4 linked regions of the Alligator mississippiensis genome follow. The protein of the gene in region 1 interacts with the protein of each later gene in a pairwise test. Links are inferred from orthologs where the notes say so. Each region holds a gene or a part of one and is shown on either strand. Other genes may lie near its edges. The genes, in order: ATPAF2, SORBS2, RAD54B and RPIA.

Region 1 (7,166 bases):
GGCAAGGAGGTGGGCTTGGGCTTGTTCTCTGGAACTGGGGCAGCAGCACATGGCCAGGACAGCCAGGCTGCCATATGATGGTGGGTCGCCTTTGTGAGCTAAAGGAGATACCTATGCATTTGGGATAGCTCAGACCCAGGGAATTCCCCTTCTCTACTAACAGGGTGTAACACGCTGCAATTTAAGTTCACAGGGACCCCTGTGCCAGGCCTAGACAGGCCCTGCCCAGAGGCAGTGGAAGAAAGTTTGAGGTGGGATGTCTCCTTCTCCACCCTGTTGATCGAAAGCACCCTCCTCTGCTTAACTGGCTTGTCATTTGCCTCTGGGGGAGGGAACGTTTTCCCTGTGGGCTGATGCCTGGAAGGACAGACAGATGGAGAAGCTGCTCCCTTTACCTTGCAGCGCCCACATGTTGTACGAGGCCAAGTGGCTGCTGAAGGTCTCTCTGGTGCTCACAGGGATGGTGGGCCCAGTGATGCTGGTCGACGAGCCGATCGTCACGTTATACCTGGAAGAGTTGGATGTATGCTGGCATCAGGAACCCCACTGCTGTGGCAGGCTGGGCTCGCTGCATGCCCCCTCCAGCCCAGCATCCTAAGTCTTGCGACACCATCCTCCCCTCCCTGTTTGCTGCTGGGCACCTGAAGCCATTAAGACCAGCCTCTGTCCTTCAAAGCCTCCTCAGTACCCCTCTATGCCCTCCTCTCAGGGCTGACGAGCTGAACACACAGCACACTGGCCCACTGCCACCAGTGCTCATCTGAGCTATTGCAGGGATGAGCGCCTTAGGCACACTGCAGAAAAGACAGAGCCTTTGGCTTCCTACCTTTTCTCGGCCCACTCGATCATGGGGTCCCACTGGTTCCTCTGCAGCTCCACCAGGGTAGCTGGCTCCTCCACCCTGTAACTAGGACCACCAGAACCGACCGTCACAGACAAACCACCAGCTGTCTTAATGCCACGTGCCGCAAAACCCCCCTGGAAATGCAAGCCCCTTCCTGGGCTGGCAGGAGATGCCAGCTTGCAAGGAGCACAGGGCTGCCCTCAGTTCCACACTGGCAGAAGCTGCAGGCCCCACAGGGGCCACCTGCGGGCGCAGCTACCTGCCAGCCCAGGTACCACGTGGAAGGGATGCAGCCTGCTTCTGCTCTGTGGTAAATCCAGCAATGTTTGTGGGGCTCCAGTGGAACAGCGTTCACAGGTCAGGCAGCCAGCTCAGGCCCCAGCATGAACAAACCCATCAGGCCACCTCGGAGCCCCAAAGCAGCTCAGGCAGGTCTCTGCTCCGAGTTTAGCCTAGAGGCCAAGGACTGGTCCAGCCCTCAGCAGTCCCAGAGCTCAGGGGCAGGAATACGGGCTCAGCTGAGGTAAAGGAGTGCTCAGGGCAAATGCAGGGTAACACCAAGCGCAGACAAGGAAAAAGGCAATGCCGCGCTAGCAGATACTCAGGACCACCGGCAACATCTCATGGGGAGAAGCGCAGGCCTGGGAGAGCTCCTCAGGGGCACAGAGCGGGGAGGAGATAGAGGCCTGTTGGTGCAGAAACAATGCAGGGTGGCTTGGCTCGAATAGATCCTCTTGGAAGGGATCCCGAGTCCCACCACAGCCGGTCCGGCCTGGCCTGGCCAGGTGTTCCCCCAGCGAACAGCAAACCCGGCAGGTCTCCTACCAGATTGTGTCCGTTTCCAGGAACTTAACAGCCGCTTGGATGAGCTGCGTCTTGTCCCGCTGGGTTGGGTTGTCCAGAGCCGTGTTGCAGAGCGTGGTCTGCAGACAAGAGGCAAGAAGCAGAGTTTCACAGATGTAAGGGGCTGGAAGGGACTTTGCAGTATCATCGGGTCCAGCGCCCTGCACCCGGCAGGAAAGACAACGGGGGGTCAGACGACCCCAGCAAGGAAACCAACCAGTCTCCTCTTGAAGATTTCCAGGGTAGGCGATTGCACCAGCTCTGGAGGGAGCTTATTCCACAGTCCGGACGCCCCAACCGTGAAAAAGTTTTTCCTAATGTTGAGCCTGAAACAGTCTTCCAGGAGTTTATGGTCATTACCCCTGGTTTTCCCCAAGGATGCCCTGGTGAAGGGTTGCTCACCAAGCCCTTGATGTACTCCCCTAATGCAGCAATAAGCTGCTACCACGTCCTCTCCTAGCCTTCTCTCTCCCAGGCTGAAGAGGCCCAGGTCCCTCCGCCTCTCCTCGCACGGCTTGCCGCGCAAGTCTCCGATCTCGCGGGCGGCTCTTTGGACTCTCTCAAGCTTTCCCACGTCCTCCTTGAAGCGCGGCGCCTGGGACGGGATGCCGCGCTCCAGCTGTGGCCTCACGGAGGCCGAGCAGAGCGGAAGAATCCCCTCCTCGGCTTCGTTAGGGAGGCCGGAGAATTTCACGAGGCCACGGCCCCTAGCAAGGGGCAGAGGAGAGACCGAGCCGTGATCTGCGCGCGCGGGGGCAGCAAAACAGTCGTGGCAGGCGCGTCCCGGGACGGGACGGGACGGCCGCGGCGCTCACCAGGTGCATGGCGTAGAGCTGGATGGTGTCCTGCTGGGCGTCCCACTCGGCTGCCACGGCCACGGCCAGGGCCTCGCTGGGCACCGCGAAGAGCTTGGCCTGGGGGGTCCTCAGCTTCCGCTGGTCCAGGTTGATTTCGAAGCCCCCTGGGCGGGCGGGCAGAGGGGGAGGTCCGCGGGGCCGCAGGGAGGGAGGGCGGGCGGGGGAAGGGGCCGCTCACCCTCCCCCCGGCCCCACTCACCTTCGCCCCGCGAGATGCCCACGCGCTTGTAGAACCGCTTCCGCTCTGCAGGGAGACAAGGGCCCGTGAGAGCGGGGACAAGGCCCCGTCCCGACCCACCCGGCTCCTGCCCCTGCCCCGGCACCTGCGGGCGGCGCGTAGCCCCGCGCCGGGCGAGGAGGAGGAGGAAGCGGCGCCCGCAGCAGCCGCCGGCAGCCGCGCCACATCCCCGCGGCCCGCTCAGGCGCCGTCCCTGGGCGCCGCCATCTTGCCGCGCCGCGGGGCCAATCCGCCTCACAAACGCGCTTTGTGCCTCGCGCCGCCCCGTCCCCGCGCCGGGAGTGGAGGCGGGGGAACTACGCGTCCCGGCGGCCCCCGCGGCGCGCCGGCGCCACGTGACGGGCCGGCGGGCCAATGGGAGCGCGCGGCGGCGCCAGGCCGAGCGGCGGGCCGGGGCCGGGGTGGCCGGGGCGGCCGGGCCGGGCCGGGCCGGCGGGCGGGGCCGGGGCGATGCCGGTGCGCAGCGAGTGCTGCTGCGCGGGGGGCGCCGGGCGCGGGGCCGCCGCCAGCCTCGTGCCGCCGCCGCCCATCAACACGGCGCAGCCCGGCGTGGCCACCTCGCTGCTCTACAGCGGCGCCAAGTTCCGCGGGCAGCAGCGCAGCAAGGGCAACGCCTACGACGTGGAGGTCGTCATGCAGGTGCGCGCGGGGGGCGGCCCCCCTTCATGTCAGCCTCGCTTCATTTTAACTCCCCCCCCCGCCTGCCCCATTCCCGTCATCTGCCCCCCCCCCACTCCTGGGGGCACCCCCCCCGCTACCTGCCCCTCACTGCCTGCCCCAGCTCTGCTGTCTGCCCCCTGCCCCCCAGGGAGATGCCCCAGGGCAGTGGGCCCGGGGGCTGAAGCCGGCGCGGGCGGGGGGCTGCTAGGTCCCCCTCCCTTTGCCTCCAGTGGGGCTGGGGGCCGGGGCGTCCCCAGGGCGCTCCTCGGGCCAGGCCCAGCCGGGGGCACCGTGGTCTCTGCCGGCCGCGGCCGGATCAAGGGGATCCTCGTCCCCGCAGCCTTCTGCGGGGTCACCGTCCGCCCGGCTTTTATTTTTAGTCGCGGGCGCGACGGCCTTGGGCAGCGCGGGCGAGCCGGGGGGTCGTGTGGAAAGAAGCACGTTGGATATCCGATCCTCTCGTGAGGCCGCCTGTGGCTTTGTTTCCAGCCGGCTGCGGAGGCACGGCCGGCCCTCGGCCGCCTGCAGCGAGTGCGTGAGAGCGGCCGGTGCCCGGGCAGGGCGGTCGAGCAATGTCCGAGTCCCAAGGTCAGCCGACCTGCCGAGGGCTTGGACCGCCCTGTCGATCCTGGCTGACCGCGCCGCGCTTGTCAGCCGCACGAGCGTACCTGAGCCCGCTCGTTTCAGTGGAGACATCCCATGGTGGATGGGCCTCACTACAGGCCCTTTTTCTCCCAAAGATTGCCGGGGCTCCCGGCTTTAACCCTCGTGTCACGCGTGTGCACGTCCATGTTCGTGTGTCTGCCCGTGTCCTCCGTGAGACCTGCAGCTGTTCCATCTGTAGAGGTCCCGTGTGGGAAAGGTCCTCCTTCCCATTCAACGCCTGCGTTTTCCAGACTCTTCCACGTGCCTGGAGATTTCCCTTGGTCATTTGGAGAGTCCAGAGCAAAAGTTTCTGTAGCTACCGCGGGGCTCGTGATGGAAGAGCTCAGTGCCTTGCTTCTCTGTGGCAGGTGGATTCGGTAATCGGGTGTAAGCCCAGTCACAGAGAGGAGAGAAAGCAAAGTATTGGGATTGTGAGTAAGGCACTTGAGGGTACGCGAGGGCTGCTTCTGAAGGCAGAGGATCCCAAGAAGGCTGTTGTGTGCAGCGCAGATGGACAGGCTCGTAAAGGGCCAGACATGGTGTCTGGGTGGGTAAAGAGCAGAGGTTGGGAACGCTGCGGAAGTGAGGAGAGATGACGTGTTAACAGAGTTGACTTCAAAGCCAAAGCTGGCGGTCAGGGCCAGGGGAAGTGGAGACAGATCTTGCTTGAGGACATCCCCTCTGGTCTCTTTGAACCACTGGTAGCATGTGGCTGGAGCAGGTTTAGGAGACAAGGATCTCATCCGAGATCTGTCTCTGAGGCACTGGGGCCGAGTGAATCACTTCTGACTCCTTTTCCTCTCTGATCCCTGGGTGGCAGACCAAGGTCTTACTAATTTGCTGGAAGCAGGTAAGATGTTCCATGGTCGTCTGGTCAAGGCTGGTGAGCGAGGTCCCTGGAAGTGATTCATTCCATGTTGCTCACCGCTGTGTGATCTCGCGACCCAAGCTGAGCCGTGCAGCCCTGGCTGAGCCTCCGGAGCCGTGTGCTGAGGGGACATAGGCTCACGAACGGTTTCTGTGCTCTCTCCCCCAGCACGTGGACATGGAGAACTCCTACCTCTGCGGATACTTGAAGATCAAAGGCCTTACAGAGGTGAGCACCTCCTGCAGAGGAACTAGGAATCTTTTTCTCCTTCTGGAAGCAGGGAGTAGGTCTCTAGACACTGGTCTAGCAGGGCAGGGCAGGGCTGGGCCTTGGAGACTACTTGATTCAAAGAGGCCTGAGCTTTCCTAAGCAGCAACCTAATTTGCCAGACGCTAGGAGTGCACTGGTCTGATGAAATGTCTGGTGAAGTAGGTTGTTGCTGACAAAATCTCATGCCTCTGAACTAGGTAGGCTCTCAGGTGCCACCCTGCCTTCACTCCAGACTAACGCAGTCAACCACCTCGGTGTCGAGGGATAAAGGTCCAGCCGGCTGACCCGCAGCAAAGCTGGTGTAATGAGCAGTCACCTGCATTTGGCGGCATTGCTGTGGGAGATGAGTGTAACCAACTTTGTGGAAAACTTGGGTCCAAATTTGTCCCTGATGTCACTTTGAGTGCTGTGCTGTGACCAGTGAGCTCGCTACGAGCATCTCTATGTTGCTTAAATTAAAAACAGACAGGTAGGAGTTTCTTTGACCTCCACCTTTCCACCCTCAGCATCTTGGAGCTGCTTCTGTTTTCAGTAGATGTTCAGCAAGGTGACTGGGGTAATGCTCTGGTCATCCGATACTGTTCTAATGCTGGTTACAGGCTTCTCCAGGGGCAGGCTGCCTGCTCTAACAGGTGATACGCAGCAGCTGGCCTCTGCTCTAGGGTCTGCTGAGCTTGCACACAACAGACCTCTGGATTCAGTATTGCTCTGGGATGTTCCAGGAGCAGGGGAAAGGCCTGGAAAGGTGGCTGGGGGAGGAGATGAGAAGGGCTGGGCTGGTGCAAATATACAGGGAAGCATAAGATGATTTGCTCAGCACAAGGAGGGGGCATCGCAGCCGTGTCTCAGACCACATGGCATCGTACTGATGAAAGCATTTGCTGAATGGGTTCCTCATAGGCAGATCTCTGGTGTTTCTGATGCAAGATCTTCCGAATGCCCTTCAGTCCCCTCTGTGTGTGTGTGTGTGTGTGTGTGCTTGCTTCTAGGAGTACCCAACCCTCACCACCTTCTTTGAGGGGGAGATCATCAGCAAAAAGCACCCCTTCCTGACCCGGAAATGGGATGCGGACGAGGACGTAGACCGCAAGCACTGGGTAAGCGAGCATGCTGGAAGCTGCAGAGAGGCTCATAGCAGCCCTGTATGCACCTCGTGGGCAAAGGGGATGTGCCAAGACTTTAAAAAGGGCCGGGGTTGTGCCTGGGGGCCAGAGAGGGCCTGAAACAGTGTTTTGGGGGTTGCTCCACCTTGCTTTCTGCTGCCTCCTTGCTCCCTGGCTGCTACTGTCATTGCCCCAGACCAGACCCCTTGTGTCAGTGACTCGTGCAGTTCAGTTTGCAGGTGGAGGAAGCTCTTTTCTTGGCACTAACAGATGGCATTGGTTTGGCAGTACCTGAGTAGCTGAGTCTGTGCCACAGTCTCCAGGGCAAACAAGCCCTTGGAGGAGCGGCAGCTTTGGGGTCCTCTGATTAGCAGAGGAAAGGCCTTGGCGGGCTCAGAGATGCTGCCAGCCTGGAGGAGTGGCATGGGCTTCTGGCAGATGGGCCCACACCTGGAGGGAGTGTGGTCTTTGGGGGTGCCTCCTCCCTCTGCTTGGCGCAGTGGAGCACCTGCTGTCAACAGTACGTTCCACTGCAGGGAGGGGCAGGCAGAGGGGGTTCTGCCAAGCACAGGCCTGGGAGGGGCGAGGTGCCCCTGCACAGAGCGGGGATGCCGCATGGATCCCTCGCTACCTTCGCCCAGCATGGACTGGGAGGGATGCGTGGTTTACAGCCTCTCGCCTGCGAGCTGCGACTGCAGCCGTTTCCCCAGAAGTGGTGCATGGTGCTGGTGTGATACAGGGCCCTGATGTCATTTGTCCCTATAGGAAGGGCTGACGGGATGCTGGGTTTCTCCAGTCAGTTGGTATGTTTCTACCTGCAATCATTCACTACAAGTGA
Region 2 (7,365 bases), on another chromosome or scaffold:
CTCTGGTAGCTTTTGATATGGACAAATGTTCTCTAGAGACTACAGCAGACCAGGAGGCTCATTCGAAATTCACACATTAATGGGATTTTAGCCAAGATCTGAAACAATATCAATACTATTCCAGATCCCATTGTAAGCCAGTATGTAAGTATTTGCTTAACTCTAAGCACATAAGTAATCCCACTGAAATCACTACTGTGACTAACTACTTAGAGTGCAAGTCTGTGCTGCGCTTCTAATCAGGACAGCCCAATTTAACATATTAGGGCAAGCATGGGCCTATGAGGTTTTAAGCTGTTATTGCAGCTTCCTGATCCAGGCCTGCTTAAGTAACTAACTGGAGAAACACCTGCTGTTATTTAGACAGACTGGGGTTGCTAGGCTTGATAGGAGCCTGCAGATATTGCTGTAACTATGGGCTGCAGACTGCATGTTAACTCTGTTTGTCCTGTATGTCCTCAATCCTTGGGCTCAAAAGAGGTCCTTTGGGAATCAGCTTTTATCAACAGTTCCACTGGGCTTGCACAAGGAAATCCTCCCAGGATCGTTTTGAAAGTGTTTAAGGTTTCTCTATCCCACTGTGGCACTTCACAAAGTATAAAGGAGCCTGAGAAGAGTAAAGACCTTGCCCTTTGTGCTTAGATTCTTTGCTGGAGTAGCACCATATTCAGCTCTTATACTGAACCCCTTACCATACCTTTCACCTCAGTATTTATGCCAACAGTTGATGAAAAGCACATACCATGTTTTGGTCTAGACCTATACAGGAAAAACTCATGCCATTTTTTTTTAATTGGAGCCATGCCTAGATAAGGCAAATAGGATTAGATCCATACTCATTACCTATATGGAACTCCACTGGTATAATTCATTTTCTAACACCAAGAATAATTTTTTTTTGTAAAATTGTTGTTCTTCCATTCTATGTCAAGATATCCATGAACCTGGGTATGAGATCAGAGGAATTTGTGTGGTTAGTTGTTTTAAGTATTAACATTGAGTCCTGTATAGAGGAAGTTGAATGTGCTAGTAATTGTCTAATAGGCCAATGAATTAATGCATTTGGGGTAGATGGACAACCCTAATTTTAATTTAATTTGCTTTGTTATCAATAAGCTAAATCTAATTTTTACAAACTCAGTGGGGTGCATCAATGTAAAACACCCATGAAATGAGAAATGGATCTAATATATGCATAATGTTTGATTAAGCAAAAGTAACTGAATTAATCTTACTGCAATGGCACTATAGCAAATTGTGCTGTGATGTTTAGCATATTTATAAATAATTACTAAAATACTTCAAAATCTCCTTGCCAACAAGTCCAAATCAGTTGCAAAATCAGCAAACTACCTGCCTTTCTGATCAAAAAGGAGCAGTACTGGACAGTAGTTATGGCATCAAAGATCTGTGTTTGAGTTATAGAGCTGTTCATATTAAGTGAGGTTGGCACTAAGCAACAGCTGCAGTATCTTAGGTAATATACTGGCAATAAGTATCAGGAAAGCCATCTTGATTTTGTTTTGTTTTGTTTTCTTAAAAGGAGAAAATAAAAACTCAAACCAGCACTTATATTAGAAATATAGTGAATGATATTTGATTTAAGGCCCTTACTCAAAGGTGTTTGAATATGTTTCAGAACTGATGTCAGAATTCCCTGTGAACACAAAATGTGGGTGCAAGTCATACAAGCAAAGCACAAACTGCAGGGTATGACATTCGCAAGACAACTATTCCCCTATAGTCTGTAGTCCAAACTCCAGATGGATATTTTTAGTCTACAAACGATACACTGTGTATTTTGATCTAAAAACAAACAATCAAACATTGGGACAAATTCCCTGCTCAGATTCCTTTGCCGGCTTCCTAGCTGTGGTCCTCAGTGACATGGGAAGTGCAGCAGCAGAAACTATTTGCAAGTGAGGGTGGTGTTTCAGGTTACCTCTGAAGTCTAAACCATTCTAAAAGCACTTAAATAGGAGTGTGCATGCATCAAAGGGTGTTCAACTGTGCCAAGTACCATCTAAGTAACTAAGGGTGAGGGTTATCTTTGAGCTGTTCTACCTAACTGGATCTAGGGTATTGTTCTGCTCCACAGAGATAAAGTGACCAATTTCCAGTCATCCAGCATCCTAGGATGCAGGGCTCCGAGCCTCTTTATCCCTAACAAATTGTCCACCCTTCCTAGTTCTACTGCCCAAGGGGTAGTAATGGCCCCAGCACCCCCACCCACCCCTACATAGCACCACACTGCCAAATCCAAGGACCCCAGGAGACCCAATCCAGGCCTGTGGGCCAGGAGCCAGGCATATGTTGTCCCCTGATAGGGCTAAGCCTTTTCCCCACATCTGGACAGCTGTCCTCTAGCCAGGAGAATTTGGGCAAGGGGGACATGGCTTCCCTCTCCAGCCTCCTGCATTCCTGGGGTGGGAGGGAAGAAAGGGCTGCCTAGCACAAAACATGGTAGAGCATAGAGCCTGGTGAGGTATGCTTCCCTGGGGTCCATCTGTCTCTGTGGTTAACCCCTGGGGCTTCACTCCCAAGGGAGGGATAGAAGCCTGGCTCCTGGTCATGCCCCTGCTCTCTAGGCCCTCTAGTGCCAAGTAACAGTTCCTCTGGTCGGAGATGACGTTAAGCATTAATTTGAGACTACTCTGAAGCTGTTCTGACTTTAAGACCACCTAATGTTTCATGGTTTAACGGTATCCTGTAAGAGCACTCAGTATTGCCAACCCCACTGTGTCAAAAATCATGAGACAAACTCGTAAAAATCAAGAGATTTTGAATGTAAATCATGAGATGCTATTTTTCAAGTGTGTGTGTATAGGAGGGCCATTATTTGTGAAGGTGTGGGGGGCTGTGGGTGTGCGTGTGGGGTTTGGAGCCTGGAGAGGGGGGTCCCTGCACACCCTGGCAGGATGCAGGGTACTGGGGTTCTGGAATGAGGGTCAGCAGCAGGGTTGGGGGGGGGGGGCTGTGGCTTAGAAGTGAGGGACACACACACACACACACACACACACAGAGCCACCCCCTCGGGGCCCCATTCACCCCAGAGCCTGCCCCACTCCCTCCTTCACCATAGAAGCCTCGATCTGCCCCCCTCCCCCCATGCCCCTGCCCCTTCCGATCCATAGACTTACCAGCTTAGCGCTCTATACACGTGCCAGAAGAAAAAATCCTGAGATTTGATCTCTGTATCAGGAGATCATGAGTCAGAGTTAATTTGACTTGGAAATCAGGAGTCTCATGATTTTTTCATGAGAGTTGGCATTACTGACACTCTTTAGACTGCCAGTAGGCCTGAAGCTACTTGGTATAGTCCTAACAGTCCATGGCATAAATATGGCAAATGACATAATGAATTACAAATTCTGAGCAGTCTTGGTATCTCTCAAAAATAAAAAGAGATTTAAAGTCGCCATCTTCAGGCAAAATGCCTGATAAGAATGCAGCAATACCTCTCCAATGTCCTCTCCCAGTATTATTCACTTGTTGGCTCAACAGCAGTTTTCAGCTATCAATAAGCTGAATTTGCTACTGCTACAAACTGTTCTACAGGTTCAAATTAGATAGCTTGAATGTTTGGAATGCAAATGTATGTAGTGATGTAGGAGGTATGGTATGTAATGTAGAAGTTTATATGGTTTTTAATTAGTTTTCAGGGAGCTTTAAGAGGAAGAGGTGCTTTATATGCAATGGATTCCAATAAAAAGCTTATAAGTACCAGAAATTGTAGCAGAGACGTTGATACCTAGCCTTTATACACCACTTTTTATATGCTGATCTCATTTTTTTCACACATGTCTTCCCCCGTCCCAAACTCATTTTAAATGCAGAAAACTGAGGAATGGAGAAAGTAAAACAATCAGTTATATTCTGTTCTAAGTGTATGACAGTGCTGTGGTATCTTGAGAGCAATGGTTAGTTTAATTCCTTTATATTTTCCTAGTAAGAAGGAGCACCCAATTTTACATATATAGAAGAGAAATCCATGAGAATTTATTTTATTTTATTTTATTTTTTTTACAAAAAAAGTAAAAATAAAAAGTAAAAGGTTTTCTAGGTTATGGTTGGTAAGTGCTGATTAATGTTGAATTTGCTAACCAGTGATTGTGGATTATCGGTTCCATTTCAAAATTAAATTAAAAAAAGATTGCTTGTTCTAATGACATATTACTTTGCCTGATTTATCAGATTTCCTTCATGCATAAATTTTGTGCATCAAAAATCCAGGCCTGTTTATAACTTGTTGTGTATTGTCTCTTTTAGTCTAGATTATATACAGTAGGATTTCCATATATAACCCCAAAAGGGAAGAGGAAAAATGAGAAGTATCTAAAAACAGGCCATTCTTCACATGGACAGAATATTCAGAAATCAGAAATTGTGGCTGGCCAAAATAAAATGGGGAAAAAAAATCCCCATAAATTAGCATTCTGTGTTGGGGATCTGCACATGATCAGCCATGCTTTCTGGATAAGTCTGTCTGTTGGTTGTTGCCATGGCTACAAAAAGCTAGTGGAACCCAATGAACTGTCTGCAGCATTGCTGAAAGGATCAGCCATTTTGCTTATGGAAAACAGTGTGACATATTATGCTGTGCTTTACCATGGAATAAACAAAAAATCTATTCAGAGGAAACAGAGGAGAAGATGAGGGAATAATTACTATAGCTGAGAATGCCTACACGCTGCCATTTTGACAAGCTGGTGACGGCTCATTCCCATTAGCTGATCAGGGAAGGTGGAATGCAGAGTGATAATGCTGCATATCTGCTGTCAGGCTGGGGAGTAGGTTTTTTGTCTTGTAAAGGCAAGGTTTCCCTGCAATGTTATCTCAACCACTCGCGAGCTGCTCCGAGTGAAAGCTGGTGACCCAAAAGAAGGGTGTTGCCCTCTCCCAACATTGTTCTTGTGCTCTGGTGTTTTATATGAGCAAGCACCACTGGAGAAGCAGGTGTGCGATTCAGATAGGCTCTGTATTGTCGGCTGTACAAACCACCCTCTCAGGTTTACATGCTTCTTATTAACAGATTGTTGGCTTAGGAGCTTCTGCTTCTGGACTTAGACCAGGAGGCTGCTGTGCATCTCTGCTTGTGTGAAAGAGGTAAGCTTTTGTTTGATTGGTTTCAATTTTATAGAAAATACTTGCATGAAGTTTTGCTCAAAGTAGCATCTCAAATGTATTCCTATTAAAAGTGACTTGTTAAAGCTTGCATTTAATGATTTTGATCATATTATGGTTTATTTGAGTGCAGTAGCATAATGTAACAGTCAAAATGCTTCCTGTTTTGAGAAAAAAAATGGGTAGTGAACAAATCTTATGCACATTTCATGTATACACAACAGGGATTTTATGCATCCTGCTATGATTTTATATTGTAAGGATTACATGGGATATCAAACATTATAGAACTGAGAAACATTTTGTTTGTAAAACCTTAAAATCCTTGATTCTCTCAGCATTCAAATACATGCATTGTTCTCCATCTTAATAATGTAGCTAGATTTAAATTGTCCAACTGCTGTGTGCAGTATGTAGGTCATAATAGAAAGCAGCTTTTGCACTAGGCTTTCTTTATGGAATGTATGCCCCAGCACTGTGTTTGATTAGTTTCTGGTACTTGTCTGTTAGGAGTCTAGGTATTAAAGGCAGCTCACACCTCCTTTTCAAAGATATCGTGCATACCATGCTAGCACAGAGCACAACACACCCATTGTGTCCCTCAGTTTGGCATTGAGTAAAAGAAAGGAAGCCAGCACTCCACATGGAGAAAAAGCACCAGCTATAGTTTAAGACAGCTAAACTTCTATTCTTAAGCACCCTCACCAGCAGCCAGTCCACTAAGAGACAGACAATAAAAAGGCTTAGACAAATGCACAGAAATATTTGAACATGGTGTTTCTGGTGAATGGCTATGTGCTAATAATATGGACCATCAGTTCCCAAATGAATTGTCCCTTGATGCACACATGATACATATCCTGATAAAGAATCTCAGAAACAGAGAGCAGTTATGAGGACAGAACTAGGTCAATAAAACCACAGCGCATTGGTGCAGCCAATGATCAGATAATCTTTAAAATATGTTAAATAATGGCATTTCAGCCCAGAGTTGTTAAGAATGCTTTTACAGAATAACATAATTTCTAACTTAATAAAATAATGAAAAGCTGAAATGCTTTAAATTCTATACACGGACAATTAAAATTTAAACAGAAATTCAAATTCATTTCTTGCAAGCTATGCTAATAATATGTTTGCATTCACTTTTAATTCACCGTTGTGTAGGTTTAAATCCCACTGAGCTAACTTGTATGCTTGGACTATAGAATGGGCATTTGATTAATCAGTAAAAGCCCCACTCCTTAATTACATTGTTAAACTAGTAACCAATCACTATTTTATAAATGGTACTGTAACTGAGAGGCAAAGTCCAAGACCATTTCTAATTGGGTTTTTTTTAATATATGCACCATAAAGTGAACATGTTGAGCCAGTGCACAGAAAATATGACTTTATGTTTGAAATCCCTGGCATAGGACCAGAAATTGCTTTAGCTTCCTTCTTCAAATCACTCCCTCAGAAAACCATATCTTCCCTGAATCAGGTCTGCTGATTTCCTTACCAGTCATCCTCCCTTAGGCTTCATCTCTTACCTGTTCTGTTTCCATATTTAGCCTGGTAGGTGTTGTGCAGGTAAGTTTGTTGGTGCAGTACAAGACCTTATGTGTGTTCTATGAAGTGCTATAAACATGTACATAGCATTGTAAATGTGTGTAATTGTGTGTGGGTGTGATTAACTTCTGCTACAAAAAGAATGGGTGGAGCTAAAACTTGAAAAATGCATTAACATTCTTCATATAAACCACTAAAGACAATTTGAACTTCTACTTTATAATGGACATGCTAAGTGTTCATAAGCAATAAAATCCAAAACATAACGCACTTTTAAGTCACAGGTAGACTGGGGTCCTACCGTCAAGAAGTACAGGCAAAATACTAAGAAAAAATAAGGGTGGCTGTAAGGATATCTCATACAAGCAAAAATGAAAGGTGCTTATATGAAAAAATGATAGACATAGTGAGTTCTGTATTTTGTTAGGTTTTTTTTTTACTACTTTTCCTTGCCTCTCTGCTCATGCCAATTCCCAGCTTTGCTTCTAGTGCTCTTAACATCCTTCGTTGCTGACCTTCATTCCTCTTCACCACATACATGAGCAGTTCACAGATAGATAAACAGATGACTTTAAGTGTCTTGTAGATGCTGTTGAATAGTTAGGTTTTCAAGAAGAATTTTAAATGAGTGTAGGAGGAAAAAAAACCAATTGAAGAAATGCTATGTAAGCCAAATTTTATGTTGTA
Region 3 (7,634 bases), on another chromosome or scaffold:
GGGTACAGTCACCCCAAAATTCACTGTAGCACCCCATAGCCCCCCTCCCAGTGCCACTGCCACCATATGCCCTGCCCCTGCCCAGCCCACACACCAGGAAGAGGTTGGTGCAGCCCCCAGCCCCTAGCGTGAAGCCCATCCTTGTCCCATGCACAAATCTAGGGGGGACACATGCCCCTCATGCCTCCCCTGGTGTGTGTGCAGCGGCAGAAGCGACCCCGCCCTCCTGGACAAACCACTTGTGACTTTTTGTTCTGCACCCTGCTTTACCCTGGCTGGGCAGCACTTGTCCCTGCCCGTGCTCCATTCCCTCCCTCTGTCCCCCTCCATGAGAACCTTGATCGGCTCCCCCACGCTCCTTCTCTCCCCTGCGCCCCTTATCCACCCACAGACTTACTGGCCAGACATTGCTCTCTAAGCTGCCGGGCTGCACTCCTGGCCATGTGCATGCTGCGGCTGCATACACACACGTAACATTTATCTGTGACATTATCAGCCGCATCGGCCAAAAAAAGCCGATTGCTGATGATGTCAATTTTCCTTTTACCAATGCCAATACAATCTGGACCAATGTATCAGCGCACCTCTATGTGGCACTCCAGGATGTTGAGAATCACTTGCATGTAGAATGCAAGGCAAGACCATGCAGGTATCCTACTTAATTCCTGAGCTGGAAAAAATATACCTTGGTGCTGTACCTGGTTAACTGGCTCCATTTCTCAGCAGTGCTTGGGTACAGCACTACATGAATGTGGCTGATGGCTTCTGGCTTGCAATCTAGTGCCCACTAAGCTAGCTTGGGTACTGCTACACAGTGCTGCCTATGCAGACCAGTGATTCTCAACCAGGGTTCCCTGGCACCCTAGGTTGTCTTGACATCTTTTCATGGGGTGTCATACCATATTTGCTGTTACATGTGCAGACATGATTCACAAGATAAACCTAGCAATTTCAAATAGGAATGTTCACCTGCTGTGTTCTCTCTGAGTTCTTTGCAACAAAAAAGTTGCTCTGTTATCTTTCTATAGTGAAGAGTAAGTGAAAACTAAGCTGGAATTGTCTGAGGGGTGCCTTGAGTCTAATGAGGTTGAGAACTGCTCATGTAGACCTATGCTGTGAGTTTTGAGCCAAGCTCACAAACTCCTCTCTGTTGTGGTGCCCCAAAAAACATGAAAAATGGGTAGAGAACTGGTGCAATCTGATGGCTCCTTATGCTGACTAACTGCAGCTCAGTTTCTTTAGAGAACTCCAGCTGTGCTTGTATGCATCTCCGCACAGGCTGAAGAGAGCCAGTCCTCTGCGATGTCGGGTATTTCCTGCTATGCAGAGCAGACCACATACCTGAAGGGTAGCCAGGAGTCTACGTTTTACAGCACACATGTTCAAACCTTGGCCCACAGGGCAGATCTGGGCCCCAGTGCAATGTCATTTGTCCTGCAGAGCTCTCCACAGGTGTGTGGGTAGCCCCAAGGCTGTAACCTTGCATGCTAGACTGGACACAAGGGGCTGGGTGGGGCTCTGAGGCCTGATTCCAGCTTATAAAACGGGGCTGAAACAGCACAAGGCTCCAAGACCCAATTCTGGCACAGAAAGACAGGAATGATGGTTTAAGGCTTGCATTGGCAGCCAACACCTGTGGGCCACATCTGCCCCACAAGTTTTCTCAGTTTTCAGAGGCGTACTTTTCAGCAGAAGCTGCATTACAGGAGCAAGAAAGCAGTTCTTTGCAGATCTGGGACAGTGGCAGATTGGTGGCCTGCAGTGGTGGCCATGTTGTAAGTGCAGGCCCAGCACTAGTAAAAAGCGGCCAACTCTTAAGCAATTAGCTTATGCCACCTATTCCAGAATGGCAGTAGACAGAGACACCTTGTCTGGGGCATTTTATGTACCTATTTGACCCACATGGCCTAAATGTTTGATGCAGCGGTTGCTGGCTCCAGCTTGGAGATTCAGTTTTTGGGAGCCCCTTTTGTAGCCATGAATCTGTAAGCAGAACACAGTACATTTGGGCTGGTTTGGAGTTTCAGTGTTATCAGTTTCCTGGGGTTGCTATGCCATTTCCTATGTGCTTTGCTGATTTACAAATACTGCTCACTTGACAGTTCATGCCTGGAACATCTTTAACCATACGGGACCTGTGCTCTGTGTACACTTTAGCTTAGGACAGGGATGGACAATTATCTGGGCTGGAGGGGCACTTAGGGAGTTTTGGTGAGCTCAGCATCTCCCCCTCCCAAAAGCTCACCAAAACTCCCTAAGTGGCCCTGATACAATTCTCCTTCAGAGGAGCAGCCGTGGGATTAATAGTATTATTTGGCAGGCCAGAACCCAGCCTGCAGGCTGTATTTTGCTTACCCCTAGCTAGGAGATTTAGGCAGCACGTGCACAGGGGCTGCTTGCTTCACATGTTTCAGCTACTTTGAGGGTCCAGATTTCTTTACCTTCTTGGCTTATTTGGCTAGTTTGAAAGCTGAAATACCATGGCATGAATAATCAAGCTGTTTTTAATTGGGAAGCACAACCTTTATTTTTCCATTAAATATGAACAGAAAGCGCAAAAATTAAATGTAGGGAGGGGAAAACCTGGAGGTAACTATGCCTTTAAACACCTTGGGCAATAAACAAGTTATCAGTGCAACTTGGGAGGGAGCAGGAGGAGGAACATCTGACTTTAAAAAAGTGCAAAAAGAGAGCAAACAGCGGGCAAAGATCAGGCTGCATGTGAAGGGCACTTGGAGAAATGCTTAAAAGAACTTTAAAGTCTGTGGGTAGGGGAGGCCACAGAAATGGTCTGATACTTTGAGGGGTCAAATCACACTGTCCTCTTGCCTACAGTTTAGCTTTGGCTGGGAGCCCTGTGATGAGGGAGGCATTCTCAAAGGCATGGTCAACTGGAGTTGACAGATCTCAGATGCTGCAGACTAGTAAGGAAGGCCAGGGAGCAGGCAGAGGCTGAGTAGTGTGTAGGGACCAACCTGTTTAGTCCCCTAGACCAGTGGTTCTCAATGTTTTTGTACCAGGATGCATTTGTAAACACCAGCCTGCAAGGGAAAGCCCACAGTTCCCCATGTTTTCCTCCTTTAAAGGAGAATCCATTTTTAAAGTTTGTTGGTGATCCTTTCATACATTCTTGCGACCCACTTTTGGGTTGCAACCCATGGGTTGAGAAATGCTGCCTTAGACTATCTGCTGAAGAATACGCCTTCCATTAGTACATGCTTTACTTGCGTTTCAACTTCCAACATTTTCCCTGGAAAGCATTAAATGTGCCTTGGCTACAACTTCCTCTTGACTCAAAGCTTTCACTCTGCTGCAATCTTCTCTGCAAATGTCATGCTTCTTGAAGTTCACCCCCATTATCAATCATCTACCCACAATTTAAGGCCTATAAGCTCCCTGAAAATTTGTTTTCTGTAAGCCCTCAAGATCAGCAGTAACTGAATCATTGCCAACACCAGTATCCCTGACAGTCTGGAAGCTGCAGGTGCCAACCCTAAATGCCAAAAACAGTAACAAGCGCTTACTGACCACTGCTCCATTTCTGTGGTCTCAGAAAAATTATCTTCTCCTCTGCTTTTAGGAAAACCATCTCCAGAGTTCTTCCCAATTTGGGAATACCCTGGAGATGCTAAATCCTTTCTAAGCTTTCCTCCTGCCTTGTTTGCCATGCAGGTATGTTTGTTCTTTCAGTCAACATAGCCCTATAGACTGTAAGCCTGTGCTGACGGAGGAAGGAGATAGTTGCTACTTTTCTATGTATGGCTTGTGCTGGTACGGCTTAGGTAAAGAGCACATTCTATATTTCTTATTCAATTGTCTCTCGTCTTTGCTGTATGCACTGCCAACGCTCTCCTGCAGCTATTGCTGGTGTTAACCAGGCTCGGGAGTGGACAGCAATAACCAGCAACTCCTGGCTACTGAGAACCTTCTCATGCAGAAGTTCTGCTGAGTGCAAGGTCCCCAGCTCCTCCTGAACTCTCTCACCAAGGGTGGCTTGACGCTAAGAGCCGCTGTCTCAGCAGCGCAGGCAGCCAGCTCTGAGCCCAGGTGGCAGCTGTGGAGTCTGCCTTTCTCCTAGGCCAGCGCAAGGTCCCAGGCTTTTCTGTCTCGTGCTGCTGGCCTATCATGCTGGCATTCCCTCACCCTCTTCTCTGCCTGCATTGGAGTGACCAACCTGCAGTATGTGTGTCACAAGTGGCATGGGCAGCCCCTAAGAGTGGCAGACAGGGAGGGGACGGGCAGGCAGCGGAGAGCAGAGCAGCAGATCGGGAAGCAGAGCAGAGGGCACCCCAGGGAGCTGAAAGCCGAGCAGCAGTTCGGGTGGGGAGCACAGGGCAGGGAGCAGACAGCAGAGAGGCAGATTGGGGGAGGGAGCACAAGGCAGGGACAGCTAGCGGAGCAGCAGATCAACCCAGGGAAGGGGGGGTCCGCATTGTTGCTCTGCCCGGGCCCGGGTGGCGCCGGCCCATCGCGCCTCGCGCCCCGCACCCACCTGGCGCAGCCGCCGCCCCGGCCCGGAGCCGCTTGCAGTGAAGACGGTATCCAGCTCGATATTCCGGCACCGCCGCAAAAGAGAGGGGCCAGGGCCCTTTACGGCTGGTATTGCTTGACGGCAGAACGCAGCACTAGCGACAGCCCAGCCAAGCCGCCATGCTAGAAGTGGCCGAAACAGCAGGCGCATGCGCAATACAGGTTTACAAGCCCCTGACAAAACTCTGCCATTCTAGAGCGAGAGCAGAAGTGCGAGAGGAAGTCCACGGGGGCGAGCACTGAAGACAGCTTCGCCCCCTTGAAGCGGCGTGGGGAGAGGGTTAGCGCATGCGCAGAGGAATCACTTGTAGCGCTGGCGGGATCCTTGAGCTGCGTTGGCGGCGGGTGCGCATGCGCCTTGGGTCGAGTGGCTGACGGGAGCCGGCAGGCGCGGCGGGACGGTTGAGTGCGCGCTTGGCGTCTCGGGGCGAGGGCGCGTGTGGCGGGGGCGCGGGCGCGGGCGCGGGGGCCGCCGCGAGCGGGCCGTGTAGGGAGCACCCCGGGGCGGGGAGCCGCGTGCTGGCGGCGGTGTTGCCAGTGTACGATAATGATCCTGTTTGTACGATCATTTCAACCCCTTTACCATGGACGGTCAGCGATGGTAAAAGTGTTTGGTTTGCTCTTGTGGCTCCTGGCCCGGCCGCAGCCGAGCCCAGATAGTGCCTGTGCAGCCAGCTGCAGTAGGAGCAATGCAGCTGGCTTGGACAAGGCGAGGAAGAACCATGCTGCTTCCCAGGTCGCTGGGCTTAGGAAGCAGGCTCTGGGGGGGGCGGGCCTGGGGACTGTGGAGCCGTCTTCCCCCGAGCTCAGCTGATGAGTACCCAATAGCCCCCTCTAAGAGCAAGGGGGGCTAACTGTTGCTCTGCGGGTGTAAGGCCTGTGATCCTCTTATGAGTCCGATACGCCAGTCTGAGGAACTGGCAAGAAGCAGCTTTGTACACTGGTGCTGCGTGCTTTTCTGACCAGTCCACATTTATTGTCAGTTAAGGACTGTGGTTCCTCATTGGAAATTCGTCCCTTAATTTGAATTTGGCCCTTAATTTCATGGTGTGCTTAATTTCAATCCTGGACAATCCTAATTCCGGGGTGTCTGTGCTAGATGGGCTCCATGCACTGCATGCAGCTCATGGGTCTAAAGCTAGTACATGCTGCATGCAGTGCGGATTGGAGACCATCAAGCCCACAGGGCTGCCTGTGTGTCGGACTCTACAGGTCAGATCTGGCCCATTGGCTGTGTCTTTCGTAGAATCATAGAAGTAGGGTCGGAAGGGACCTTGTAGATCTTCAAGTCCGACCCCCTGCCTGGGCAGGAAGAAAAGTGGGTTCAAGTGACCCCAGCCAGGTAGGCATCAAGCCTCTTCTTAAAGACCCCCAGGGTAGGAGCCAGCACCACTTCCCTTGGAAGTTGGTTCCAGATCCTAGCCGCCCTGACTGTGAAGTAGTTCCTATGAATGTCTAATCTAAACCTACTCTCCAACAACTGGTGGCCATTATTCCTTGTTATCCTGGGGGGCACTAGGGGAAACAAGGTCTCCCCCAAACCCTTCTGGTCCCTCCTAGTAAGTTTATAGATGGTCACCAGCTCCCCCTCTCAGCCTTCTCTTGCTGAAATAAATTGAGACTTACACTTATTTGCCCACACCCAGACTTGAACTGCCAGCCTTTTCATTAGCAGCTCACAACTCAGGCCCTCCAGCCACAGAAGAGGCCTTTTTTGACAGCCTTGTCCTAACTTATTGTGGTAGCAAAGCGAAGCCTGGGAGGAAAGTTAACTTTTTGGGCCTTTCATTGGAATGGAAGTTTTGGGATCTCTCTTTCACAACTAATGTGCATGTCGTCTATAAGGCAAACTTTCCAGATTGACTTTTGCAATTTCACCAGAAAGCTGAGAGGTGGGACTTACTGCCACCCAGGTGTGTGGGTCAGGTTTGGGTCATTGCAATTCAAATGGCATTTATGCCTATTTTGGATGTTGCCTATTATTGGGCTACAACAGGACTTTCCAGCTGGTGACCTGTGGGCTTCATGCAGTCCATGGGGGGTTACATTGTGGCCCTGGGCTACCACCTGGCCACCACTTTTCCCATTGCTTCAGCTACAGAAGCAGCCAGGGACTCTGGGCTCCTTTTCCCCTCCAGCTTCTCCTTCCTGCAGCATGGTACAGCCTGCATTGCTGAAAGAGCCTTAAGGTGAAATGCAGCAGGGGAGACTGTGGCTGGGGAGCTGAAGATGAGTGAGGGCACTTGGGCACTGGTGTTGTTGTGGGTGGGGGGGGAGTTAGGGAGCAGTGTGTGGTGCAGTGTGGTGTTGCTCAGTTCAGTGAGGTGAAAAGGCTTATCGTTCAGTAGTGAGGGGGGATGGGGGGTACCTGGACACATGGTGCAGTGGGGGGGAAGTGGTGTGTGATGTAGTGGAGGGAGGCACATGCAGTGGAGTGATGCAGCAGCAGAGGGCTGCTTAGGCATGCACTGTAGTGGGGGAGGGAGGAGGCACTGTGCAGTGATGGGGAGGGACATGAAGTGCAATGGTGGGGAGGGCGTGCATGGTGGTACTGATATATGGTACCGCTGGGGGGGTGGGAAAAGCGCGGTACCACTAAAGCAGTGGTCTCCAACCTTTTTAAGTACCAGATCCCTTTGTGAATTAAAGTGCAACCTAGGATCTATCGCACCTCTCCCCCCTGCAAGTGGGGGGGAGCAAATCGAGGCCCCTGCAATGAGGGAGGGAGGGGGGTAGGGGCAGGTGCTGGGGTGAGTGTGGTCCTGCCTGGGCTGGGTGGTGGGACAATTGGAGCCCAGGAGGCTTATCCAGGTGTGGGGTGGGGAGGCTCCAGCCACTACATGCATCCCGGTGGACACCTGGGGGATACGTGCCCTCCCCGATCTGTATGCAGGGTGGAGGCAGCTGCTGTTGCACACTGGACTTTGCACTCCAAGCCCCACTGCAGCTATTCTGGGAGTGGCACAAGGCCACATGTGTCTCGCCACTGGGCTGAGGCTTGCCCCCTGCCCACCCAATGGCAGGACATGGAGCCTCTGACAGTTGCACTCAGTCCCGCCAGACTGAGATCATGCATGTGCTCAGCCTCCCCAGACTGAGATTAG
Region 4 (6,888 bases), on another chromosome or scaffold:
CTGCCTACAACACTTGTGGGTACTCCACGTTCATGCAGGCTTGCTCTTAAACCAGGGGTGGGCAAAATGCAGCCCAGGGGGGCTGGATGCGGCCCACCAGGTCATTCTATCTGGCCCATGGGGTCCCTAAAAAATACAGAAAATTAATATTAATCTGCCCTGGGCTGCCTGTCATGCAGCCCTCGATGGCTTGCCGAAACTCAATAAGCGGCCCTCCGCCCGAAATAATTGCCCACCCCTGTCTTAAACAGTCCACTGTTCAACATTGAGTTTTTCTAAAGCATCTCCTAAAACCAGCAACTCAGTTTACTGGTGAGAGCAGTTCACTGCTTCCTTGGAAAACTTGAACGGAGGCATCTTTTCCCTCACCCCCGCCGCAGAAACACTGCAGGTCTTCCAGATGCCCATTATTTTGCAGGAGAATCAGTCTATGCACAGGAGGAGGTTCAAACAAGCACCCCATGAAAGAAGCCTACTTTTCAAGGAAGCCACATGGTAAAGCACCGCTTCCAGGAACAATATTGTTAGTGAACAGCACTGTAGCAGTAACTCTGCTATCCAAAGCAAAAACTGCAAGAGCACTCCCTGGAGGATAACAGCAGATCAAAAGAAAAACCTGCTTGCTCTGTAGAAAATACGGTGCACCCTGGGCCCTTCTCATGCACTTAAAATGCATGAGTCTTGCATCACAAGCCATGTTTAAACGGTTCCAAAGCCTTCCGCTTCCAAGGGTGGGAGCCTGCTCAGGACAACGATTAACACACAGCGTGCTATCCACACTGTGGTCGGGCACACACGTATATGTGATAACAAGCTGGAAGGAAGGAAGGACTTACTGCATGTTAACTGCTCCACAGTAACTAGTTCATGTGTCTACTCTATTCCTAAGTAAGTCGAAGTTAAACTGCAGGAATTTAGTAGCTGTTTCACGTGCTCTTTCTATCCCATGGTAAGTAAAACTATAAACCAGGACAGTATACCCCTAAATTAAACAACTGACACATGGCAAATCTCTCCCCCATCTCAATACAATATCATTTGTTGCTTGATTCAGACTTTTAATGCAGAAACGTATTAATTAAATGTGCAGTGAACGGGCACTGCTACGTCACAACCACGACCCACAATGCTGTATTCTTTGCAGTGTAGAGACACTTTACTAGGTAGCTAAACTTGATGAGAATTAACTCTGGCTCATGCATACATACACCTGCACATTTTGTACATAAGCAAATTCCTTGGTGAAAATACAAAGCTTAAATTCACTTAAGAAGCAAAGCATTACCAAAAAAAAACAAAAACAAAATCACAAGATGTTAAAGTTTAATCTTGGCCTTATAGGTTCATTCCTTGCATACAATTTAATGTACATGCATTATTTAATGTAATAGCAAGGTTCTCTGCTGTTAAATGGTGCATCAAGCTGCCCTGCTGTGCCCAATGATCCAACCAAAGCTGGCAGGGACTGCGTGGAGCTGCCTTCAGTCTGCTCTTTTCCAGGCAGAACAACACAGACCTGGTTGGGAAGGCAGAGGGGCCAGCAGAGCACACCCCCAAGGAGTTAAAAGTTTAACTTGTCAGTAATGCCAGTAAGGAAGTTTTTGTTAAACTTTCTGAACATGGCATAAGACTGGGGCCTGCCAACTTTACCTTGGGATCCTGCTTCCCCACCGAGATCCACCTCGGGAGAAGCCCAGGCCAGCGGATCATACCTGGATATTTATTCCCTGTGGTCCCAGGGACAGCACAGCAAAATGAACACAGCCACGTCTCACTTTGCCAAGCGCAGCCAACGCACAAGAAAGCCACGCGCCTCCAAAGGGAGGACAAGGTTAAAGTCAGAAAGAAGAACAAACCGACAAGGAGACACAGGGAGAGGCTTTTTTTGACCTCAGATGTTATCTCCGCATTTGGTAACAGACTGCTACAGAGAAAAAGGTCTTGCATCCACCCCCCTCCACCGCACAAGGATGAAGGGAGCTGCAACAATTCAGGCAAGAAGGCCTGTTTAGATATGATCTAGATTAGGACTAAGTCCTCCCCGCTGAAGAAGTGTCTGACAGTGAGAAAACTAGCATGCATTACCCAGCTCAATGTAAAATCGCAGTGGAGACCAGGCTGAAGCATTTAACTGAGGGCCTGGACAAGCACACCAATGGTAGCACGCCAGACAGGCCTGCAGCTATCCCAGGGAGAGCTGGCGCAGCAGGCAGCTGTTACTGCGCCGCACCCCTAGGAAGCAGGGGAGCGAGTACCAGCCTTTTAGTATCAGGTAAAATTACCCTGGGATGGACATGGACAGACACAGCCGACAGCGGTGTAACTTCTAGGCATGCTCATATTAGCACCAGGGGGCCCCAAACTCAAGCTGGGACCTCCAGGTACTCGCAGGATAAAACGAACCCCAACAAGCATGCATGAGAAGAGAGGCCAAAGCGTGTGGATGAGTTCGGGGAGTCTTCTGGCTGCTGGGCCAACATCCAGAGACACACGACACTGAGCTGAACGACGAATTGGAGGCGATATTCCCTGACACCAGCTCCTGCGCAGCGGTGAGCTGAACCCCTTCACTGACGGACGTTTGCAGAGCATTGAAGCAACAAATATTACGCGAGGCTACGGCCTGCCCGCAGACGCAGCCGGGCTCCGGACTCTCCCCCGGCCTGACACTGCACGCACCTCCCGGACACCGCACGCACCTCCCGACTGGGCAGGTTTCCCCCTGCAGAGGCCCAAGCTGAAGCAATGCATGTTGCTAGCAGGATGCACGCTTGGCCAGGGGTCGCTGAGCCGCAGGTCAGCCAGGAGAGACGGGGCGCGGGTTCGAGTCCCCCCGGGGGCGCTCACCTGCACGTGCCCGTCCACGGCCGCGCGGGCCGCCTGCCTCTTCGCCGTCTCGGCCATGCCGCCGGGCAGGGCGGCTCCCCGGGCCGCCAGCGTCCTGCAGAGGCTGCCGATCCACGCCCCGGGCCGCATACCGGAGCCGCCCGGCCGGCCGTCCGGCTGCGCGCCGAGCCCGCCTGGGAGTTGTAGTGCAGCCGGCGGCGGGGACTACATCTCCCGCCATGCAGCGCGGCTGCTCGCGCCCGGCCGCCCCGCAGCGGTGCGCGCACCAGGTGCAATCCGGACGCGGGGTGTGGGTCGGGGGTGCAGCGTGCAGCCGTGGGTCTTGGGGTGAATCTGATCTCTCTTATTGCACCAACTTAAATTCAATTAAACTAGAACTCTTGGTTCCAAAGTGATACTTTTGATTAGACCAACTGGAAAATGGATCATTTTTGAGGCATTGAATTGATGCACCACAGGCAAAACCCCAAGTCGCTCTCAGAAAGTTTGAACTGACGGCTGGGTTTGCTGCCAGCACTCTGCTAGGATGCCTCACCTCCAAATAAACACTTCAGTTTTGATGACCCAGCTCTCACTCTTTCACTGACGTCTTAACAGCGAGCAATACAAAGTAAAGACGATTTATTTGCAGGCTTCTCTGCATATTTTTTTCACTGGACAATCGTTTTTTCAGCAAGTGCAATCATTTTGAGCCAATATGATACTGTAATTTCATATTTAAGACCTGGCAATGCAGCTGATGCTTGCCCGCCAGGCATGGGCAAGGGCATGTGGGTGCGCCTGGCAGGACAGGATCCGTGTGGGGCATGGCTGGGAGCTGCGGTGCCTTGCCCCAGGGGGTCCCCGGCACTCAGTGCCCTCCCAGTGAGGATGAAGCCCTCTCTTGGCAGGGTAGGAGCCCCTGCGTGTCAAGAGCGTGGCATAGCCTAGCTCGCTCCTGCAGCCATACAGCTGAATGCAAGCAAAACTCAGGGGCATCTGAACCCCAAGCCTTTGGGCTTGGGCCTGCGCGTAGGATGCCTGCCGAATGATTTGGAGGGTTGTAGATTGGAAACATTTGAAGCCCCAGTTTGGGTGGAGGATGTTTGCCAGTAGCAAGGCCACATAAGCTTCTTGAATGACTCACGGATTTGGAATTGATTTTGCCGATTTGTCTTGGAACATGAAAAATTATCCTTTAAAAAATAAATAAATAAAGCATGGCATAGGAGGTGCTAGGGGTAAAGACATCCCCTCACCTTTGCAGGAGGTGCGGGCAAGCCTGGCTCTGACACCCGACAGGATTCACATGGCCACGGCTGGCAGACGTCAGGTGCTGCTGCTCACCTGTCGCTAGATGCCAAGGACAGGCCATAATGCACAACTGCAGTGCCTCTCACTGGCCCCTGCCCAGCTCTGGAAAGGATGGAAATGCCTCTGTGCTCAGTCACCCCTCGCGCCAAATTCCCCCATGGTTTCCGCAGCCAGCTCAAAGCACTCCTCCGTTCCACACCCCCTGCCAGCTTTACCATCTCTCTACCCAACAACCGCCCCCAACCCCCCCATGTCCCCATTTTTGCCTTTTGTGCTGTCCCTCCTCACCCTTTTGCTACTGGGGAGTGACAGCCTCACCCTCTGTGACTTCTGAAAAGTCTCGTCTGCTTCCAGCAGCTCTCCAAATCTCAGCCCTGTGTAACCATTAACTCATGCAGAAGTGGGGCTGGAGGGGACCTCAGGAGGTCATCTAGTCCAGCCCGCTGCTCAACCATCCCTAACTAGACCATCCCAGCCAACGACTGCTTTTAAATACTTCCAAGGATGAGAGTCCACGCTCTCCAGGGGGATGCTTAACCACCCTCGTAGAAGCTTCTTAACGTCCAACCTGAACTTCCCCTGTCGCAAGAGCATTGTTCCTTTTTTTTTTTTTTTTTTTTGGAAAAGGAAGATGTATTTGATCCCTGGAGCAAGTTCCAGCCCAGCTGGGCCATTCACACTCCTGCTTCTCACTTCTCACAATCAGGCAATGAGCAGCACATGGCTCCTCCAAACAGGAGGAGACCAGACAGGTAAATGACCCGGACAGAAATGCATGTTCCGCATGATCTGCAGGGAAAGGTGGCTTTGGGGCTAGGGCACAATGCCACCTAGTCTGGACTCATGGGTCCTGTTTCCATTGTTCCTTGTCCCGTTTCTTGTGGCTACAGAGAATAGCCTCTCTCCTTCTTCTTTACAACCACCCTTCGGGTACTTGAAGACTATCAGGTCCTCTCTCAGTCTTCTCTCCTCCAGACTAAATAAGCCTAGTTCTTTCAGCCTTTCCTCATAAATCATGCTTCCCAGGCCTGTAGTCATTTTTGTTGCCCTCCACTGGACTCTATCTAGTCTGTTTGCATATTTCTTAAAGGGCGATGCCCAAAAACAGACACACTGCTCCAGACAAGGCCTCAACATCTGTGCTTATAGCTATTAACACCTATTTTGTTGCTTGCAGAATACTATATGAGGCCATAAGGTATTAATCTAGCTTTCTGGCCTCCTCTACCCCCAGTTTTTATATGCCACCCAGGCCAGGTCGCATTTCAGAGGCAGGCTTAATATCACTGCTATTAAGCCCCTTGCTAATTACTGGTCTCACCCCTTTACTTTTTCATGTATTGCCTTTTTTTAAGGATAAAGTCAAAGTATATATTTAATTAAGTTGACTTTCTCCCTGCTGCATAGCTGTTTTGCCTGCCATCCTCCAGCACAGCCACGTCACTGGGATATTCCAGGATCACTTCACATGGAAGAGCCATGTTAACCAGCCCAGTGCTTCCAGCAGTCCCAGAACTGGTGATAGTTTGTTCACCAGTGAGCTGCACCTCTTGTACTGAGGTGGAGTTTTAGCCTTGATTTTAATGGGGTCCTGGTATGAACCCTTTCTGTTTCAATATAGGGTAAGACTATAGACAGTCTCTTAAAGAAAAGCACTTTCTTGCAAATATTAGCCTGAGAATCAGCTGCAGGCGATAAGGAGCTGATTGCTTACATATGAGCTGTGATGCCCTTGCTTGTACAGCCAGCTCGCCCTAGGCAGCTGGGGAATTCAGGGTTCAACCTCCAACAGTTCCTTCAGCAGACTGCAGAGAAGCCTCGACACTTCAAGTCCTTTTATGCCCTGCACCAAACTGCATCAGTAGTTTTCCCACTAGTTCCTTCCAGGTAACACCCCCCTCCCCCCCCCCCAAGCTTCAAGTGTAACCCCGTAGCAGCTTTTAGCTCAGCCACTTTAAAATGGCACCTGTTCAATCCCAAACCCAGGGCAGCCTAACAAGTCACTTGTTGCATAGATTAAACCACTAATGCTAAAATCAGTTAGCTGAAGTAGACTGCACAGTCCCAACGGCAAAGTATGACTTTACAGGACAGAGCCAGCCTGCATGGGATGAAGCACAAGGGGACATGAAGCAAAGTGTCATGGGGATGAAATACAGAGCTCCCCAGGAGAGGACACAGGGACAAAAACATGGCACAGGCAAAGAGGGACAGAGCTGTCAGAGACTCTCATTAAACAGAGAAAGGAGCAAAGCCAAGACCCAGACATGAGACATCCTGCATGACCGGATTCAACACGAGAGACAGGAGAGAACGGGGAACGGGGAATCATCGCGTTATGTCAGTGTAAATTGTTTCGAGCGGCCGGAGCCGACCCGAGGATCGGTAGTTTAATCGGACGTCAGGCGGGCCAGCAATGGAGAGGCGAGACAGCTTATTGGTTTTAAAAGATTGTTTTTACTTACGCCACGTAGAATGGCAGCACAGGCCTCGAAGTAGCTTGCTTGCGTTGTCACGGATAGCAAAACGAGTGATGAGTTAACGAGTTTACGAATGAAAAGGAACCTGCAGGATAGCGGGGTACATCAAAAGGACCCAGTGACGGGGAGATATTGGTGGGTGATCAGTCCGCCAAGTTTCCTCGATCGCGCTACAGAGTTCTCCGTGGTTACTCTGCCGCGTGCTCAGAGGTCTCCGACTTGGGCGGAAGTTGCATGAACTTTTATATGTCCAGAGTAGCCAATAATG

Evidence for each region.
Region 2: the proteins of ATPAF2 (region 1) and SORBS2 interact in binary tests that used the Homo sapiens proteins (3 or more experiments, as listed by UniProt). The two-hybrid records come from large-scale screens. The link is inferred for Alligator mississippiensis from reciprocal best matches to the Homo sapiens genes ATPAF2 and SORBS2.
Region 3: the proteins of ATPAF2 (region 1) and RAD54B interact in a two-hybrid assay, tested with the Homo sapiens proteins (2 studies listed by BioGRID). The two-hybrid records come from large-scale screens. The link is inferred for Alligator mississippiensis from reciprocal best matches to the Homo sapiens genes ATPAF2 and RAD54B.
Region 4: the proteins of ATPAF2 (region 1) and RPIA interact in binary tests that used the Homo sapiens proteins (3 or more experiments, as listed by UniProt). The two-hybrid records come from large-scale screens. The link is inferred for Alligator mississippiensis from reciprocal best matches to the Homo sapiens genes ATPAF2 and RPIA.

The regions. Positions count from the first base shown.
Region 1 is NC_081836.1:54,885,847-54,893,012, forward strand, and holds the start of ATPAF2 (ATP synthase mitochondrial F1 complex assembly factor 2), read right to left. Parts: upstream 3,008-7,166; 5' UTR 2,950-3,007; coding exon 2,868-2,949; intron 2,789-2,867; coding exon 2,744-2,788; intron 2,649-2,743; coding exon 2,503-2,648; intron 1,768-2,502; coding exon 1,670-1,767; intron 908-1,669; coding exon 827-907; intron 509-826; coding exon 396-508; intron 1-395. Other genes in the region: GID4 (glucose-induced degradation protein 4 homolog), read left to right, coding at 3,233-3,421, 5,124-5,183, 6,215-6,322. UniProt on the Homo sapiens protein: Plays a role in the assembly of the F1 component of the mitochondrial ATP synthase (ATPase).
Region 2 is NC_081825.1:69,985,409-69,992,773, forward strand, and holds the start of SORBS2 (sorbin and SH3 domain-containing protein 2), read left to right. Parts: upstream 1-4,353; 5' UTR 4,354-5,106; intron 5,107-6,659; exon of another isoform or gene 6,660-6,765; intron 6,766-7,365. UniProt on the Homo sapiens protein: Adapter protein that plays a role in the assembling of signaling complexes, being a link between ABL kinases and actin cytoskeleton. Can form complex with ABL1 and CBL, thus promoting ubiquitination and degradation of ABL1.
Region 3 is NC_081826.1:43,509,989-43,517,622, forward strand, and holds the start of RAD54B (DNA repair and recombination protein RAD54B), read left to right. Parts: upstream 1-4,681; 5' UTR 4,682-4,692; intron 4,693-4,722; exon of another isoform or gene 4,723-4,936; intron 4,937-7,634. Other genes in the region: RING finger protein 151, read right to left, coding at 4,493-4,681. UniProt on the Homo sapiens protein: Involved in DNA repair and mitotic recombination. May play an active role in recombination processes in concert with other members of the RAD52 epistasis group.
Region 4 is NC_081825.1:13,854,486-13,861,373, forward strand, and holds the start of RPIA (ribose-5-phosphate isomerase), read right to left. Parts: upstream 3,014-6,888; 5' UTR 2,977-3,013; coding exon 2,848-2,976; intron 2,767-2,847; exon of another isoform or gene 2,752-2,766; coding exon of another isoform or gene 2,680-2,751; intron 1,734-2,679; exon of another isoform or gene 1,711-1,733; coding exon of another isoform or gene 1,651-1,710; intron 1-1,650. UniProt on the Homo sapiens protein: Catalyzes the reversible conversion of ribose-5-phosphate to ribulose 5-phosphate and participates in the first step of the non-oxidative branch of the pentose phosphate pathway.